Danio rerio: one gene and its partner. The protein of the gene in region 1 interacts with the protein of each later gene in a pairwise test. Links are inferred from orthologs where the notes say so. Each region holds a gene or a part of one and is shown on either strand. Other genes may lie near its edges. The genes, in order: ptpn3 and lmo1.

What was found.
Region 2: the proteins of ptpn3 (region 1) and lmo1 interact in binary tests that used the Homo sapiens proteins (3 or more experiments, as listed by UniProt). The two-hybrid records come from large-scale screens. The link is inferred for Danio rerio from reciprocal best matches to the Homo sapiens genes PTPN3 and LMO1.

What each region holds. Positions count from the first base shown.
Region 1 is NC_133191.1:29,669,069-29,672,999, forward strand, and holds the start of ptpn3 (tyrosine-protein phosphatase non-receptor type 3), read left to right. Parts: upstream 1-1,231; 5' UTR 1,232-1,330; intron 1,331-3,931.
Region 2 is NC_133182.1:28,180,332-28,184,262, reverse strand, and holds the start of lmo1 (rhombotin-1), read left to right. Parts: upstream 1-1,521; 5' UTR 1,522-2,087; coding exon 2,088-2,109; exon of another isoform or gene 2,110-2,457; coding exon of another isoform or gene 2,458-2,491; intron 2,492-3,931. UniProt on the Homo sapiens protein: May be involved in gene regulation within neural lineage cells potentially by direct DNA binding or by binding to other transcription factors.

The DNA of each region.
Region 1 (3,931 bases):
AGAAAGTCTATAACCATTTATGAGTCCACAGAAGAACATACAACCTTGAACCAGGTAAGCTACAGCAACAGACGACCACAACAGGTACCACTCCTTTCAGCTAAGACAATAATGATGTAATTCAGCATATTTTCTTGACTTACTTTGACCCCTTAGCTGAATACCACAGCCTATTGTTGCTGATTATCCCCATGTTTTTATCAATCTTAAATCATCTTAAGCTGGTTTCTTAAAATAATTTCTTGAACACAACACTATATAGTATTCACTATACTCAAATTGCTTAAATAATCACCAGATCTAGAACATCTTTGCTGTAATGGTAGATTCACATCATAAATTTGAAGCTGTGAATTTACCACAAACATGTCTCAATTTTGAGTTGCGGCTGGAAAGGCATCCACTGGCAAACAAAGAGTAACTGACATTTCGTTTCGCTGTGATGACCTGTTATTAAGAAGGAAATAAGAAAAGGAGTGAGTGCATGACTGAGTGTAAACAAAGGCAACCCAGCAAGGCACTGATAAAGTAGTTAGTATGATTACTAAAACACAAGCTAGTGGTCAGTTATGCTGAATATTTAAAAAATTGGCTAACCCACAAAATGATTACATTTGATGTTTTAAGGCAAGTTAAAAGAAGTTCCGAAACAGATTTTAATTCTTATGTTTTGTCTTAAGAGCATAGATGTCACATTTATAAGGAATATGCCATATTCTAATGTTTTTACGAAAGAAAAATAAGAATATGGTGGTTAAGGATTTATTTTATTATCATTGTTAATGGTCGCATTTTGGTCTCTTACTCTGATCAGATAGTATTGATAGTAAGTGTTAAAAACTAAGACTAAGCTGGGAAACCAGAATGAAAACCAGAAGAATTTTAGAGCAAGCTCTACACCCAGGTGTGCTTACTGACTCAAAGAGGCAGCGCCCTAAACCGGCGGGGACGCGCACCTGAAATTGCGCGAGCTCGTGAAATTCCTGAGAGTTCTGGCTTAACATGAATCACGCCTTGAAATCAGGCTAGGTCTGACAATCACATTCACATCATGAAATCTGTAAAATGTGTGTTGCAACCACCCCAGCAGTGGGAAGGGGAGCATAAAAACAAAACTATTGCTACATGATCACAATAGATCCTGCACTCGTGGTCAGCGCAGTGACGCCGTTATTGCCCTCCCGAAGGAACCAAGAGAGAGAAAAATAACATATTCCGGAAGTTTACCGACACCTGCGACCATGATCGCCTTAACATGGAAACTTTTCTCTCATCTCGGGGATTGTAAGAACTTCTAACACTGCAGAAATATTGGGAACAGCTCGAGCAGGTAACTTTCTGACGCTTTTCTGATGTATGAATGTCCCTGCATGAACTCCAACTTTGTGGGCTAAAGAAGAACATTGTCAAACGACGTATATTTGGCTTTAAGAACAACAAATCGGTTCACTCCTAGACTGTTTATGGGAAATATCGCGATAAAGCTCCTGGATTTGTTTCTTTCCATGCGAAATATGATCTCGAAATATGTTGAGGTCATAAACGCTGGAGCAGAAGAACTGTCCTGTCGTTCACCCCGCTCGGTTTGGTGACACTTCGGTTCAGATTTGTGACAGAGCCCGAACCTAAAGCCTGAGCAGACCAGCGTGAACTTGAGTCAGAAATGCAAGACGTCACACCCAGAAAAGCCCTCATACAGAAACTTTAAACTGTTTTCTCCTGTTAAACCGTCCTGTGTTACTTTTTTGTTTCAAACTCATAATATTACAGTAGTTTGAGTCAAAGGCTCTTTGTTTTTTAGGATGGTTCAAGTAATTACATGTCCTAAGCCGTAAATATCGCGTCGCTTAAAAGTGAAGTCGAGCGTGTAAAGTAGTGCTTTTGCAACCGAGCTGCTGGTAAATATTAACCTCCAGTGTAAACGTCAGAGCTGCTCTAACCGTGAGCGAAAGTAAAACACCCACTTCAGACTGCAACTATGCGTTTTATATGGTCAAAAAGGGAAACATTGTATACAAAGACAGATCAGTGAGACTTCTGCATTTGCAAACAGTCACAGAGAGCGTCCACAAACTGGATCTGTGAGGTTAAGTCTGAAAGAACAAGAGGTATTTAATGTAGCTTAATCTGAAGTAACTACAGGCTGTTAAAAATCTTATGTCAAATAACTTAGTGTGTCCATATGATGGATTTCTGTCTCAAATTCTGATTTATGTCATGTGTCTTTTGTCTCTCCCAAATTATAAAGTATTGTCACATCACCAGTTCACGTTCATGTTTACTTGTCTAATGTCAAATTTGCACTTTAAAGGTGGCACAGAAGTGTATCTGAGGTGGCATTTACACAGTGTTTGCAGAGATAGATCACCCAAAAGTGAAAATTCTGTTATTTACTCATCCTCATGCTTGTTCAAAACCTGTTCGACTTCTTCTGTTAAACAGAAAAGAAGATATTTTGAAGAAAGCTGAAAAAATGTAACTATTGACATCTATTTGTTTTTACTACTTTTTACAGCTCTTCAGCTTTTTTTCCAGCATATCTTTGTGTTTAACAACATAAAGTAACTAACAAAGCTTTATAACCAATTGAGGGTCACCAAGTAATCAGTAATATTTAGTTTTTGGGTGAACTACCCCATAAGAAGGTGTCATAAATGCATGTACACCAAAATTACAACTGTACACTATACAATACACACTAGGGATGAGGTAGCGCAATTTAATTAGAGCAGATATCATTTAGTCTGTCTCTAGTATATGAGGCATTATGTATTTTTTTAATTATCACAGTGCAGCCTTATAATTGGCAATAGTGCAAACATTTGACACACTTGTCCTATATTATTATTACTGTACATATTTACAAAAACTGTAGACTATATCTTAGACAGAAAACAGTTTTTGTGTGAAAAACTTGATTTATGCATATTTATTTAAAAAATGACACTACAAAACAGTGACAGCACAGACTAATGTGCGGACACAGAATTCATTTAGACACATAAAAATACTTTGCATTCTATAACTTACAGTATATTTGTTCATAGTGCAGTGACCTCTTACATGTCAAAAGATCAAGTGAATTTATTTCTCAGTTCATCACACTTTTAACGGAATTATTAATGCAGTTTAGGTCTAACCAGGAGTGCACGAGCAGCAAGTGTAGGGTATAGGTATAAGTTATAATAACAAATATTAAAAACTATGGGTAATATTTACAGATGGATGTACTGTACTATAAACATTATATACAGGTTGTATTAGCTACGATATAATGTTCATAGTACATCCATTCCCGAATATACAAGTATTATTGAAATTATTAAAGACTATACTATAACTACAGTGTATCACTTTAATCAAGTTTCTTCGTATAATACAGCTTATGCAGAAGCCACTCACAGCCAACATGACATAATGTAATAGTGTGTCTAAACTCCGCCTTCTCAAAAGGTCATCAATGCCTGCTTTTACATCACTGCCTGTCTAGGCTCTACCCACTGATTCGAGTATAGATAGCTGCCAGCTGCTAGCTTTCTCAGCTCTCACATGGTAGCCCACTGAAGCCAAGCAGGGCTGCACCTGGTCAAACAGCAAAGCACAAACAAAATGGCATCCCTTTTGGTGCTTGAATTCACTTACTAGTTTCATTCACTACTTCAAGTGAACTATATTAGTGGACTAATGTAGGATATAGTGAATGATGGTACGAGGGGCAATACAGTATTGGTTGCTGCTGGAAGAGGTGTTATAGAGGTCAGCTGGGGGTGCTTACCCTGTAGTCTGTAGGGATCCTAATGCCCCAGTATAGTAACACTATACTGTAAAGCCGGGTTTATACTTCTGCGTCGAGTGATCGGCATGACCCACAGCACATGCCTTGTGCGTTGACATGCATTTATACTTCTGCATGCTGTTTGTGTTGCTCTGC
Region 2 (3,931 bases), on another chromosome or scaffold:
TTATGCAAGCAGTTTTAAGTCTGTTTTACATAATATAAGTTAAATGGACTCATAAAGTTAATCTTAATTCAGATTAAAAATTTAAGGCAACTAAGATTTTTTAGGCATTTATTTACTGTTATTATTATAGTAAATACAAAAAACCCTGTGTTACAAGGATATCATTAAATATCAAGATTTTTTTTTTATTTTTTTATTTTTTGTAAGTAGTGTTCTAACAGCATGTGGCTTCTCTTATTATTTGTTATTGTTTCTCCATTTAACTGTCAGGGGGCCTTGTGCAGTCCAGCATTCAACTACAATGGGCCACGCTTTCCTTGTTCCCTCAGTTTGTTGTGATTGGATTAATTGGGTGTCATTCACTTCACAAGAGGTCAGCAGACATACATTTGTGGTCAAAAGTCATCCATCTATCACACTGCTGAAATGAAAAGTCAGACATGTCAAGCAAGAGAAGAAGAGAGCAAAGGCTCCAACAATGGATTTTAGGGGCAGGGCAATATCCCAATCTGCTAAGGTTACTACAGTCTATAGTTCAAATTAAACTACAAATGAATGTCTAGGGGCATGGCAGATTTGCACCCTAATGTCTTATGAGCAGATATGAATTACAGTTTCATAATTTATGTCTATTCATCACCTGCTTCGAGGAGTTCCAGATCTCAGAGACATGAAACAAGGCACATTTTCATCTCTACCTTGACAGTGATGTACAATAAAAGCAAATGAAAAACTAGTATGCCAGATCACTTATGGACAAACAGAGCACTTGTAACCTCTGCATCTCTGCTAATGGTTAATCTGGGGTGGATCTCTGCCTTGATTGGATAAGAGTCTCCGCAGGGCAGGTGAAAGCCCATCAATTGCCCACCATGAAACAGCAATACTTGTATCAGCAAAGTAACAGCTAACAATTATATTACCAGAGCCAAACGTGCTCTCCTATCTCACCACTAATCAAAACACAGCCCATCTGTTGTGTTGTGGCTCTCAAAATGACTGTTTATCTGAATATGGAAAGTGAGTCGTCTAGCCTATCATACATATCTAGGAGTATTATTATAATGACAAGAGCGAAGAACGAGAAGAAATTAGATCATGAGAACTGCTTAAAACGCTTTTTAAAAGCTCAAACCCTCTTTTCTCTATTTATAACACACATCACAATCACACAAGAACACACGTACACACACACATCCCCTGTGAGCACTTCACAAAAACACTCACACACACTCTGTTAGACACACACACACTTTCCCTTAGCTGTGCTTTTGTGTTTTGTCAGAATTAATGAGAAAAGTTCCCTTGCCCTAGGGGTAATTAGTGTCCTTGGAGTTAAATAAGCTAATACTTAGACACCTCTGGCACAAGCAATTATGTTTGTGTATTGAATAATTGATTCAAAGAGGGGGGAAGGGCTGCTAATCAGATCTGAGCATAATGAATTGATTTAATTAACAGGGGAATCCGTGGCTCTCTGGGAAGCGCGCGCATTTATTCAGTAGCAGGAGCGCGCGGAGCGCATAAATTGGGTGAGAGAGGCAGCGTGAGCATGCTGTTAGGAGTTGTCAGCCTCAGAATTGGATTTCTTGAATATAGTTACAGTTTCGGAGCAAATGAGAACTGGGAGGAACACGTTTCTACTCCGAGAATAGCTTCTTCGCGGCAGCTCAATTTAAACGGGAGTTTAAATTAGATTTGAGTTAGTGCAGTCGTTTCATTTTCGAATGGAATGCACCGTGGCGTCTCACTTTAGTTTTAGACATCGTTAATTGCAAGCGTGGATATTATACTGACGCGCTGCGCACGCGAACGCGACTAGGGGGACATCGCTGCATGTAATCTCCGAAATACATTAAACAATAGAATAACCGACGCATATGCTTCTCTACATGGCATTCTGTCTCTGAACAGCGGAAAACCAACACAGACGAGCCTGTATAGTTAAAGCTTGTGGCAGCAACGCGGACGATTATTATTTTGTTGTTGCAAAGCAATTTCTTCTCAGAGACGCGAGCGGCGCGCGCAGAAGTGTGCTGGAGCCGAGAGCGGATCGCCTGGAGCCGGACTCCTCGCTCCTCAGGACGATGGTGTTAGACAAGGAAGAGGGTAAGTGCACGGATGATTGTTAGTGCATTCATTTGCTCCGCATGACTATGAAGAACGCGGGACAGTAAGGAAACGCAGCATTTAGCGTCCATTTTCCCTCTGAACGGCACTTTCATGCTCCAGTTCGTTTGTCATATCAAACGGACACGTACGTTCGCCAGGTTTACATGAGGGAGAGAGCGCGAACGCGACTCTGAAACACTTTGAGTCGGGAGAGACATGCCGAATACGGTGTACTTCTCTCACTGTCCATTTGTATATGAATATTGATAATCTGTTAGAAAGACGTAGCGTCCGCATTCACCGCAGTGTTAGTTAGAGCTCGTGCAAATCTGTGAAGTTACGGAGATGTTTTATCAACAGCGGGTGTCTTCGCTCACAGGTGAGAGCATTTGAACCTTAACCTTTACTGAAAGATGTAAACGACAACATTTATACATCACCAATTGGATAGCAGTGTATTGCGTTTGTAAACATGTCAGCGTTTTATAGCCATATGAGCAATGCACTTCTCTGTATTTACGCTGCTGGCTGGTTCCTATGGAAACCGTTTATAAACTTTTCTTTTGGAGGTTGTGGTGCTGACAAGTTTGTGGTGAAGCTGAATCCCGTTTTTTTTTTTTTTTTGTATTCTAATACGTTTTTAAACTGTGTTGAAATGGGAAATAATCCCTTTAAAGCGTCTTTGACCTAAAATGCCTTTCTTGTCATGTTTCTGGGAATACTGTCATCACACACACCTTTAGTTTTAGCCAGGGGCCCTTTCCCCCCCAAACTAACGGCTTGCATTTCAGACCCATATTTATGTTTGAAAATGGATATTTCATATCTCTTTGAGCCAACCATCCTTTCACTAACCCATCTAAAAACCAATAAAGAGATTGCCGTAGAAACATAAATTGGTCTGTCTCGCTCAATCCATGTTGCGCTAATGTACCCAGATTAACTCAACTGTAAATTGTCTCCTTTGGATGTCTGTCTTGCTAAAAGTTCCCCATATGATTCATGATTCAGATTGCTTTTAACAGCTATTGGCTAAGCAATATGGTAAATGTACAAGGTGATGCAAATGGCATTAGTAGGAGAGGATGCACAGGAGCATGTAATGCAGTCAATACTACATTAACTACTGATGCCCAATTACAGAAGCAGGGAGAGTGGCTTTTAGGAGCATTAGGACTTACAGAAAAGCTTAGATCACCTGCTGCTCATTGCCTAAAAGCTTCACCCTTTGCGTGCTGGTGCCGACCAACTGCGCTGGCATTTTGGCAGGGATGGGGAAGCAGCTTGGATCTGCTTTCTCTCTCTCTCTTTCTCTCTCCCTCTCTCTCATACACGCATATACCAACACAGATGCACACACACTTTTAACTAACACAGGAACTGAACAGATAAGTCTGATCCTAATATAAGGCTGTGCTCTAAATATATCAGAGGTACAGTATTCTCAGTTCAGTACATCTTGTACTATATTAAAAGTGAGGGAGGAATTCAATGAATTGTGAAACCCTTGTGAAAGAATAACCATAAGCACGACTTTCATGTTGTCTGTGAACATGAACAGGTCCTCAGTACGTATTAACTTACACTGTGATTCTGCAGATTTAATACAAAAAATAAGTCATAATGTTGTATTTATAATGATTTTGTAAACTACAGAAGATATGTATGTGTTTGGTTTTCAATAACTGAACTTTTAAAGGCTGTCAATGCGAGTCTTTGAAATAACTGCATCCTGCAACAGAAGACTTATCTAGTTACCTTTTCCTCAACATCCTCCAAAAAGTGTGATACGAAGCAGTTTTGCTTTAGTTTTCCATCC